3 linked regions of the Caenorhabditis elegans genome follow. The protein of the gene in region 2 interacts with the protein of the main gene of each other region in a pairwise test. Each region holds a gene or a part of one and is shown on either strand. Other genes may lie near its edges. The genes, in order: hpo-9, gst-24 and ZK632.12.

Evidence for each region.
Region 1: the proteins of gst-24 (region 2) and hpo-9 interact in a two-hybrid assay, tested with the Caenorhabditis elegans proteins (one large-scale study listed by BioGRID).
Region 3: the proteins of gst-24 (region 2) and ZK632.12 interact in a two-hybrid assay, tested with the Caenorhabditis elegans proteins (one large-scale study listed by BioGRID).

Annotation. Positions count from the first base shown.
Region 1 is NC_003283.11:7,234,405-7,238,968, forward strand, and holds hpo-9 (BTB/POZ domain-containing protein 9), read right to left. Parts: upstream 2,727-4,564; 5' UTR 2,723-2,726; coding exon 2,608-2,722; intron 2,559-2,607; coding exon 1,773-2,558; intron 1,725-1,772; coding exon 1,427-1,724; intron 1,209-1,426; coding exon 1,096-1,208; intron 1,049-1,095; coding exon 615-1,048; 3' UTR 518-614; downstream 1-517. Other genes in the region: C05C8.5 (Exonuclease domain-containing protein), read right to left, coding at 1-87, 133-270, 322-409; Centriolar and ciliogenesis-associated protein hyls-1, read left to right, coding at 3,154-3,250, 3,306-3,476, 3,527-3,681, 3,875-4,107.
Region 2 is NC_003280.10:13,609,844-13,613,020, reverse strand, and holds gst-24 (glutathione transferase), read left to right. Parts: upstream 1-1,654; 5' UTR 1,655-1,726; coding exon 1,727-1,865; intron 1,866-2,050; coding exon 2,051-2,541; 3' UTR 2,542-2,578; downstream 2,579-3,177. Other genes in the region: gst-15 (glutathione transferase), read left to right, coding at 1-22, 694-1,190.
Region 3 is NC_003281.10:9,829,035-9,833,064, reverse strand, and holds ZK632.12 (uncharacterized protein), read right to left. Parts: upstream 2,264-4,030; 5' UTR 2,228-2,263; coding exon 2,212-2,227; intron 2,165-2,211; coding exon 1,772-2,164; intron 1,293-1,771; coding exon 1,084-1,292; intron 1,036-1,083; coding exon 895-1,035; intron 849-894; coding exon 807-848; 3' UTR 642-806; downstream 1-641. Other genes in the region: ZK632.11 (uncharacterized protein), read right to left, coding at 3,453-3,848, 3,894-4,030.

The sequences.
Region 1 (4,564 bases), on a different chromosome or scaffold from region 2:
GGACATTTCTATGATGGGATAGACTGACCCATCTGGGCTTTTGGAGTGATGATCCAAATATGCTGAAGTGAATAAACTGAGCCAGAGCTGGAAAACTATGCGAAAATTGTGGATTTTAAAGTGGATTATTACTTTCGCAGTCTAATCGATGGCCATCACCTAGTCGGGACAGCCTTAACTCTAATTTTGGCTTGGATGGATCATCACTACTTGTACTAGGAGACTTGGTTGGTTTTTCAGAGCTTGTTAATCGACGTCTTTTTGTTGCACCTGAAATTAATTTCTTTTCCTGGAATTTATTTTTTTATTTATTCCCCTTACATTGAAATTCATGTTCTGCTTGTTCTGGTGATTTGAATAGGTTTTCTATCTCTGATTTGAGACTTTTCCTCAGTTCTCGCTTCGCCATCCCTCTCAAAAATCTGAAAAAAACGGTTAGAATTTCAAGAATAAAGAAAATAAAAAAATAAATTTATTTTCGGTGTGTGGCGTCCGTGTATGTGGTTTTTTTTCAAAAGAAATTATTAACATTTTTATTCAATAAATTTAATAACTTATTTTTCATCAGACATTTAAGTGAAATAATGCATTATATATATTTCTGTAACCCGGTTTTATTTTATGGCAATTGGAACGTTTGAGGGAGCCTCGAGATGTACAACGTGAAAGACTTCGTTTATGGAATTCCGGGTACCAACAAGTCGAATATACACAACTGGAAGAGGATCAAATATGAGTTCTTGCCATCCATGACATTCTTCATTGGTGCGGTCGACAATCGTAACCCATTCGTCTTGATTCTTCGATACGGCAACATAATACGAGTAGAATCGATCATCACAATTCCATAACAAAATTCGCATTGAAGATATAATGTAGGGCTGAGCAAGTTGAATCATGATGAGACCACTTCCAATTTGATGACACGTGTATCCAGTATCCCAGTCGTAGGATGAGGAATCCCCGTTGATAAGAGCATTCCGACATCGAGAAACTCCTTCAACAACCCGTGCGTGATTTTCTATCGTTGTGATGTTTCGATGAGGAACTGAGAAAATTGAAATTATATTACATTTCCACAGCAAAATGTGATACCTATGACTTTGTGCACAGGTTCGACAGGCATTGTTTCGGTAGAGAACATGGCTTCGATTCGACTTCCTTCCAGTTTACACGACATTGAATTGTTGACTCGGATCAAAATATGCCTGAAATGCAAATTATGGTGAATAATTTTCGAGTTTCACGGGTTTTCTGTAGAAAATTACTATAGGCGCTGTAGTTTTTTTTCGAAAGTTTTAAATGTTTCGGAAAATGAATAAAAAATAGATCAATTAAACTTCGCCCGTTAGTTCCAAAACCGCCGAAATGTTTTTGAATTTCTACTATTAATGCAATGGATTTTACAATAAAATCAATCACTTACCGCACAACAGAATCTGTGAAGAAGAGTCTTTGTGTTCCTCGACAATCATATTCCGAGTAATCAGCAACTAGATTCCAATGAGCATCAACTCGATTATCCATACTAACGTGAACTTGGTATGTAAATGCTTGAACTTCATTTTTCCAGTTAAAATCCATCATAATTGTATTGATAATGAATGGTTTTCCGAGATCAATTTGAAATACACTAATATTCTCGTCATTAGTGTAGCGACTGCTGAGCTCTCGTGACAATGGCTGTGCGTGTGGATAGTGTGGAATTATATTCGTGTCGAGGCCTATAAAATGGAATAGATTAAACAGAAAATAAATAAAATTCAACTCACTTTTGCATCCTCTGAATGGAATCTCGTGTGGTCTTTGTGTTTGAACTTCTATAGCATCCAGAAGAGTATCAGCTGACACCAACCCAGTTGGTCTTACACAATTAAGAAGTTCGGTTTGTGTTATAAGGGGAAGTCTGACCAATTCCAGCAAAACTTTTGATGCTTCTTTCATTGTTGGATTATTCTGATGCCATGAACGTACCGCATTGAAGATCTTCAATTCTAATGCAAAAAATGAATCTCTCGCAAGAAGCTCCTTCAGACTATCTCCTGATAATCGGTTGAAGCTGGGATCTTCGAGAAGCTGATCTGCATGTTTATCAGAATATTGCATGCAATAATCTATAAGATCAGTGAATTGAAAGAAGTATGCAGCATTGAAAATACTACACAAGTTCTCATTCTTCAAAATTTCCTTGAAATATTCGCTTATTGCTGTCATAAGCTGAATTAAATCATAACGATGTGCCAGACTGAGATATTCTAGCAAAATATCCAGTTCCACTCCGGCAAAATCGATTTTCGATGTGTACATGTACCGAAGAACAGCTCGGAAGGCTACTGAATTCGTTTCCTGAAGAGTCACAAGCTGTTGATGGCTTTCTTGAAAACCTGTATAGAGCATAGCTCGAAAAAAGCTACTTCTCACAGCCAAGATCAAACGATGGGCAGCAAATTCAGTTCCATCGTCGAGAACAAGAGTTACATCGGAGTGGTCTGTTGAAGTGAAAATCTCATCGAAACTTTGTGAAAGCTCATCAAGATGTTGTACAACAGATTTGTTAACTGAAATAATAGCTAATTTTGGTCAATTTTTCTGCTTTTAGAGACTTACCGCTATTCACCGCATTAAAATTATTGGAAATGGCGGCGGATTCTGTTCTCATAGTTTCGACAATTCCTCGTCCATCTTCTTGAATCGGCCGCCCAAAAGCATGGTTATCGCTCATGTACCTGAAAACCCGTCATTATCATTAATTATTGAATTTTAATAAAAAAGTTATTTTAAATTTAATTTTTCGGGATAAAATTAGAAAATTCGGAAAAGTTTTTAACAAGGAGAATGATGGGCGGAGTCATGTTTGGCAATCTGGGCGCACTGTTTTGCAATGGCACCGCGCGCGCTATTTTTTTAAGATTTGAACCTGGCGCGCTTTCTGGCGTTCAATAGAGCACGTTTGCTTTTTTGTTTTTTATTTGTTTTTTTTTTGCACGAACAATATTGTTTGTTGTTACAGAAAAACCCCACCATCTTGTGACTGATCAGATCATTGTGACAATCTCAAAAATATTTTCAAAACGTTACGGGTAGTTTAACGTGTACGTCATTTCCTCCTTGTTCATAAAACACGCTTCATCGAGCATTTGGCTTCAAGGAAAAATGGCAAATTTTACCACTGAAAACGAGCTCGAAGATATTCTTCATCAAATGGGTCACCATATACATGACAAAAACCAATTTGCAACTTTCAAGAATGGTTAGTTTTTTTTCCTAAAATATTTAAATCCAATATAAAAGATCGTATTCTTCAGAAATTGATAATCTACTCGACCGAGAGCTTTGTCTGTCAGATGCCGATGAAGACGTTATGAATGAATCTCTATTTGCTTCATTATCAGTTGATCCAGCCGCTCAATTCATACGACAAGAACGAAATTTTCCAACCGAAAATCTGAATATTCAGTCCCCAATTGTTTCTAGAAGTGAGTTAAGTTTTAAGATTTTCTTCAATTAATCTGTGATTTTTTTTCAGAAAGACAAGGAAAACGGTTTATCTACGAAAATGTAGAGTTACAAAGCGATTTCGACGATGAAAGCTCAAACGAGTATCCTGAGAGAAACCTTCTGGTCGATCGAGCGTGGCGAAGCATACATCGTGCAATGGAAACATGCAATGGTGCCACAGAGGTTTTGACTTTTTCGTTTTTTTTTTTGTTGAAAAATGCTGACTTCCATTCAAGATTTTTTCCATAGATTAAGCTGGAAAATGTTCAAAAAGTCTAAAAATAATAAAATTGAATCCTGTGAGCCAACCGAACGTCAAGATTCAGATGTTTGTGCATTTTATTTTATAAAAAATAAGTTTTAAATATTTTTTCAGACTCTTAAATCAATATCACTGGATGGCAGCGACATACAAGAACGATCAAGTGTGGATGATGAGGAAAATATCGCTGAATCAGTTTCCGTGGGGTTAAGCACTGAAACTGAACAATCAGAGCTTCAAAAATCTTCACGACCGGAAAAAGAAGTTTGGACTCGGAATGTGTTGTCACTTGAACCAGGAAGAGCACCAAAAAAATATGATCCGGTCACAAGATATCATTTCTACAAGTAATTCATTTTATTCAGTTTGAGAGTGTCGTGACTGTGTAGTAGCGATGGAAGAACGTTTTATTTATAATTTTGATTTAGAAAAAATTAAAATACTTTAAAAAGTATTGGCATTATTGAAAAAATCAAAGTATCAAAAATGCCAATTTTTGAAAAGAAAGAAAATATTGGAAAAAAAAAGTTTTCGAAATAATTAAAATATTTCCAACAATATAGACTGAATGAAATAGAATAAAAATCAAATATTTTGATAAAATCGTATTTCCAAAAAAAAAAAGATTAAAAAGTTTTTTTTTACATTTTCAAAAATATGCCAATTTTTAAAAAATCTAAAAAAAGTAAAAAAAAATTAAAATTTGGAAAAAAAACAAAAATATGTTTTAAAAAATGGATAAATTTGTGGAAAATTCAAATCTTTAAAAAATTATATACATTTTTGAAAAAATCAAAATATTTT
Region 2 (3,177 bases):
AAATGGGAGAAAATGAGAGACAGTAAGTTCTTAAAGTGAAATGTGTTGCTTGTAGTTTGTAGTTTGTAGTTTGTAGTTACTGATGCCACACTTAATTTGAAAAAGTTTGAACTAAAAAACATTAAATTTCTTGGCTTTCGGGGAAAAATCTTTTTGTAGTTTGTAGTTTGTAGTTCGTAGTTTGTAGTCTGTAGTTTGTAGTTTTTAATTTGTAGTTTGTAGTTTGTAGGTGCTAGTTTGTAGTTTGTAAAAGGTTTTTTGGTACGAAAGTATTTTGAAAAATTAATTTTTGTCAAAAAAATAGTTTGTTACTTGTAGTCCGTAATTCGTATTATGTAGAATATAGGTTGTAGTTTGTAGTCTGCAGATTGTAGTTTGTAGTTTGTATATTGTAGTTTGTAGTTTGTAGCTTGTAGAAAGGATTAGATATTTCTGTTTTTTTTTCGTATAAATAGAAAGTCACTACATCCAGCTTTAGGGTTTCATAAGATCTTCAGGCGTACGCGCCTACTTTTTGCCTGCCTGCCTACGTGCTCTCCATTGTGACTTCTTGTTTAGCGCAGATTTCAAATATTTGTGTTAAGTATAAAATGTTCGATTACAAACTGAGAGTATGAACACACGATGGCAGACGTAGGCATGTAGGCAAGCGTGCCTACAAAGAAGACCTGCCATAATTAATTCAACTTCCAGAAACCCCATTTGGTCAGCTCCCAGTACTCAACGTTGATGGCTTCGACATCCCCCAATCTGCTGCAATTTGTCGATACCTTGCCAAGAAATTTGGTTATGCCGGAAAAACTCCAGAAGAAGAAGCGTGGGCGGACGCCGTTGTCGACCAATTCAAAGACTTCTCCGTTGCTTTTAAAACACTCCTTTTTGCCACAAGGGCCGGGAAACCAGAAGAAGAAATCCTCAAAATCCGCTACGAGATTTTCAATCCAGCTCGAGATGTCTACTTTATTCTTCTCAATCGAATTCTCAAAAAGAGCAAGTCAGGTTATTTAGTTGGTGATGGGCTCACATGGGCTGATCTAGTTATAGCTGATAATTTGCACAGTCTGGAGAAGCTTCGAGCCATCGATGATGATGATGAAGGACATCAGAATTTGAAAAAGTATAAGGAGAAAATCTATGGAACCCCAGATTTGGAGGATCATATTGCGACGAGAATGGATACAGAAGTCTAAATTTTGAATCGCGTTGAATTTTTAAAAACTGTGATAAAAGATAATAAACATATTGTAGTATTTTATGCGGATATTTTTTTACCGAAATACTTTTTTTTGAAATAATAGTGCGAGAAGTGCAACAGGGCTCCATATGATTTTTCAGTACTTTTGAATTTTTGAAAAAAACAGCTTTTGATGTATTTTCTGAACTTTTTAAAATAATCTTCCGTACAAGTTAGCAAATTTTATTTAATATTTTTTGGTATATTTTATCATGCTAAACAGTTTTATAAAAGAAAAATGAAGCACTTCATATGATTTTTCAGTACTTTTGAATTTTTGAAAAAAAAACAGCTTTTGATGCATTTTCTGAATTTTTCAAAAATTTTTCCAATTTTCTGACTTTTTGTTTTGTGACCAGTGTTTCTTCGCAAAAACACAAACCACTCTTCTATTTCTCTATTTCTCTCACTCTCCCTCCCCTCAATTTCGGAGATTTTCGAAACGACTTTGTGTATATAAAGTACTACTCAATCATCTCCCATCAACAAACAATGCCACAATACAAGCTCTACTATTTCAACCTTCGTGGATGGGCTGAGCCGGCTCGGCAGCTCTTCAAGCTGGCTCACGTCGAGTTTGAGGATGTTCGTATTGAGAATGGAACTCCAGAGTGGGGAGCGTTGAAGCCAAGTGAGTTTTTGAAACATTTTTAGTGGTATTTGTATAACTGTCACGGATTTTGAGAATTTTTTAAAAATCAGATACGGTGGTCCACTCTAAGCCTAAGCCTATGCCTCGGCCTATGACTATACCTAAGCCTAAGCGAAAGCCTAAACCTAAGCCTAAGTCTGAATCCCAACCCAGGAATCTTCCAGAAACCCCATTTGGTCAGCTCCCATTCCTCTCAGTCGATGGCTTCGAAATCCCCCAATCCGCTGCAATTCTCCGCTACCTTGCCAAAAAATTCGGCTACGCTGGAAAAACATCAGAGGAAGAAGCGTGGGTGGATGCAATCGTAGATCAATTCAAAGACTTCGTCACCCCACTACGCCAACTCATCATGGCTCAAAGATCCGGAAATGCGGAGGAAATCGAGCGAATCCAAAAGGAGGTCTTCGCGCCGGCCCGGGATACATTCTTCAAAATTCTTAATGGAATTCTTGAGAAGAGCAAGTCAGGATTCCTAGTCGGAGATGGTGTAACTTGGGCTGATCTGGTGATAGCTGATATTTTGACAACTATGGAGATGCTGGGAGTGTTTGATAAGCACGGAGAGGAGCAGAAGCTTGCAGCGCTCCGTGAGAAGGTTAATGAGATACCGGAGATCAAGGAGCACAACTCGTCGAGACCAGATTCTGTTGTTTGATATATTATGTGTATGTTAATAAAGATTATTATATCATAATGAGTGATTCTAAGGTAGGTAGGCACGCTTTCAGGCTGCCTACCACCTAAAAAAGATGGTTTTGACAGTAGGCAGTAGATCAAACGTATGTCTGTTAGAAGGCAAGTTATCTAGGCACGAGGCAGGTGTAGTTTGCCTTGAAGGCAAGCGGGCAGTCTGTGGCCTACGTAAAGGGTCTAACATAGACAGTAGGCATGGGTGTAGGCACAAAGAAGGCGTAAGTCACACCTGGGGAGTTTGCGATCAAAAGAAACATCCTGCCGTCAAATAAACCTATGCCTGGCTGCATGCCTTCCATACAAGCCTGACTAAATGCCTGCAAGGTAACCTATGTTTATCTGCATACCTACAAGACTGCCTATGCCTGCCTGCAAGCCTATGAAACTTTTGAACTTTTCGACAGAGATCATTCTAGAAATCCCATATTTTCGAACAAAAAAGTCATGTTTGTCATCATTTTTCCTACAAAAGACCATGAATCGTCGCCGCCATATCCAATTACAAATAAATCGAATTATCTTCTGAGATCAATATCAAGATGGCAGTGACCTCCCCGCCGCCATCGCATAAACCACGTTGTTTCCCCCCGTCGGGAAA
Region 3 (4,030 bases), on a different chromosome or scaffold from region 2:
TCGAATGGTAACATTATTACGAACTCGGCTGGTCCGTTTCCTTCGCCGAAGTGTTTTCATCCAGCTCCTGGCTCGTATCCACTTCCATCAATTCTCCTGGTTCCATGGAATCACTGCAAAAATAGGACATGATGAAATATATATATATATATATATATGAATAAAAGCTTAGGAATTTATGAAATTTACACTTCGTTTGCAGCCATTTTCAGCTTTTAAGAAGACAGTAATGCAAAAATAAAACGAATTTTCAGAAAGTAAACGTGCCGCGCGTTTTGTCCACGTGGAGAACAACGTGGATACGCAAACACTCGAAGAACTCTGCGTACAATACACCATGTGCCCGCTTACAGTACTCCAGAAAATAAAATTTATTTTTCATTGCACACTTTTGTGCTCTGATTTCACTAATCATATGTAAATAAAACATTTATTTTACTTTTAATAATTTAAGAACATTTATATGATTCCAAGCCGAATGGACCATACGTTTCTCTGAACACTTCAGTTAATTGCGCTGTTTCTTGTAAGGACAAGAAATTTGATCATTTCTGTAATTCATGATTATTAAAATGATTCCTTCTGTCATGTGGTCGTTTTAATTTTGTGCAGTTCTGAATAATCTTGAATTGAAGAAAAAGGAAATAACTTTTTTTCAGGAATTGTAAAAGTCGTTGGAAGCAACAAAAAAAAATACGTACAATTGCTGTATATCACAGGAACGTTTAAGAAAATATAATATTAATTTAGTAGTAGGAATGAGGACGTGGATTTTAGAATTTTCATCGTAGTTTATATGCGTTGAACTATGTTGCCGGCTGCTGAACGTCCTCACGGTAGAATGTTGGCTGAAATTTGTATGTTTATTGAAAGATTAGGCAATATTCAGTATACCCGGCTCTCATTACTCGATCGTCCACTACCATTGACCTCGTCTTCACTATCCGAGGAGGAATCCTCATGGTGCAAGCGATTTCCCGTTTTTGGTTCACTTTCTTCTTGTCCTGGTGTGGCACTACTCAGACTGTCAAAGCACTGAAAAATCATGATATTTAGACGATAAAGTGTCAAACTTCACCGTACATGATCACAAACTCGGACAGGCTTCTTATGTACATTGTCAATACGGAATGTTCTCGATGAGCAGGCGCCACACACGACACGTCCACAATTTCTGCAGTGATGTCTTCTTTGAACCAGATTGAATTGAGTTTTCCCGCAGACCATACACTTCACTGCTTCACCATCGGGAACCCATACAGCTGCGTGAGCAGTCGCGGCTTGCTTATTTCCTGAAAGTAGAAAATTTTGATTGTATTTTTAATAGAAAAAAATAATTTATCTAAAAAACCGTTTTAATTTAGAGATATGGTGATTCCCAATTTTTTTGTAGAACGTATATTATTGGTCATTTAAATATGAGAATTTTTCACCTATCTTAGGCGCATGGGTCTCGCCAGGCGGACAACAAATTACTGTAACTTGTCGATCTATGGACCAATTTTGCATCACAATTTATAAATTAAATTGAACATTGCTGCCAACATTTTTTTAAATAAAAAGACCACAATGCGCCTAAGACTTATTTAAGCTTAATATTAATTAGACGAAAAATGTTGCGATTGTTGCATTAAAAATACGGTTTTCGGTCTCGAAACGACAAGATTTTTTGAAACGGAAAATGGTAAGCGCCTTTAAAGATTACGGTGGTTTCAAACTTTCTCTGCAATTTTTTGGTGGAAATTTTTTGAAAATAATTTTCGTGTATTACCTCTTTCAAGGAGATCTGTAACGCATCTCTCAATATGCAACATCCATTCTCGTTTTTCAGTTTCAGTTGCTGCATAAACTGCAAACGATTTTGCAGGTGTCTTAATAATCCATCCATGTTTCTCAATTCCATCGTCTTCCAGATCTTCTACTTGTACACCTTCCAATCTTAGAATTCTTTGCTTATTATATCGCTTTTTCGAAATCACAATGTTTCCATATACAAGAATATCATTGAACAAGAAGAATTGCCGTTGCTTCGGTTTCTTTCGGCACATTTTCACAAGAACACCTTCTCCGACAAGAACTCGTCCGAATACCGACAATTGTTCTCCCATTTTTCCAAAGCATTGTTCTACGTTAGCCATTCGACGGGAATTCACTTCACTATTCACTAAAATTTAATAAATTATTTTATAAAAGAAAATAAATAAAACTTACCAAGTCGATCAACCATTGTGTTTTGTGATTTAGAAACGATGGAAAGAATCCGCTGAAAACTTTGAATATTTCAAAAAATTCATAAATTTAGTTCGAGACGAAGAAGGTTGAAAATCATAACAAAAAATTATTTTGAGTGAGAACAGAATAAGAAGAGAGGGAAAAGGAATGTGATGAGTCATCATACACTTTATGTGCAAACAATCGGATGGACAAGCCAGTGGACCGCTGCCTGAACGAAAGAAAAAGAATGCAATGAATAAATTGTCACGAATGAATGATAAGAACAACTGGTGGCCTGGAAAAAAGGTTTCAATTAATTTTATTACTTTTTTGAATAAGATTTCGGATCTTAAATATAGTTATGCATGGTATGGGAGCAGATTTTGTAGGTTTTCCTTCTAATTAACAATAACAATCTCAATATATTTACCGAAAATAACTGTAACAAAATTACAAAATTTGAACATTGTTTTAAATGATTTTTTTCAATTTTGGAAAAAAAATGATTAAAAAGGCTAAACTTTTTCTGAATTCCCGCGCAAGTGATCTACACAATTTCGATATTTTTTGCTTTTTCCGGCTATATTAATTGGGGTTTCTTTTTATTTTATTTTGTTAATCTAAAGAACTTCTCTGAAACTCTAAATCTGGCCTCAAATCAATAATGTAAACTTGTTTTGCGGGAAAAAATGTATGAAAGTTTTACAAAATTATGTTTCGAATCAATAATTTAATAAAAACCTTAATAATATAACCTGAAAACGTCGAAACTTTAGGAATTCGTTTGCGCGGGAATTCAAAAAATAATTCAGCTCGTTTTTAAATAATTTTTAAAAAAATTTGCAATCATAAAAAATTCCATCACTTTCTAAAAAATAAATTCGGCAAAAAATCCCTCAAAACCTATACCATCTTTTTAATATTCACAGGTTTCTCGAAATAATCTGATTAAACATAAGCCAATTAGACCAATTTAGTTTAAATTGAGAAAACCGATATTTGCTGTGTGTCACCAATCCATCGGAAAGCGGCAAGAGTGAAAGAAACGCAGAGATAAAGATATAATTGATGACCAAAATAGAAGATTGTGGACATTCGGAACCATTTACAACAAGAGAGAGGTTGGAAAATCAAGAAAAAAGGTTTTATCATGGTAGTTTTGCGTAAAAATATGGAACAACAACAACAATTTTAAGCAACAACAATAATTCAACAAAAGGATTTTTCAAAAAGCCAATTCATTTAGCATGTCTTCTATTTCTTTTCCTGTTCTGATTATTTTTGTTCTTAGCAGTTCCAGAGTTATTCGACGACGAAATTTCATTCGTTGAAACCAAAATAACTTCTTCTTCAGGCTCCGGAACGAAGTTATTTTCGCGGATTTCTTTCAATTTGTCCATGAGATTTCTGAAGTTTCCCTTGCATCCAGTAAGTTCTTCTCTTGCTTCAAATGGTTGAATTCCGACGGCAAACGCTTCAAGTGGAGCAACAGGAGTAAGAAGAGAGCTACCAAACACTGGAGTTCCGATTAATTCAAACATCGATTCTCCTAGTTTTACATCTTTTCGAATCGGAGTCAAAAGGTGTTTTTCTTCTGTTGAAGCAGAGCCGTCGAGTATTATAATGGAATCTTCCTGGAAAAGTAACTGATATTGAATTTTTATTTTAATTTAATTTACTTCTCCCGGAGTATTGAACTTGTCAATTTTGATTTCATCACTTGTGATTACTATAACATCATCATCATCTTCATTAGCGAACTTTTTATGTTTCGGAGTTGATTTGGCTCTTCGTTTCTCCGCTTTTTCACTTTTCT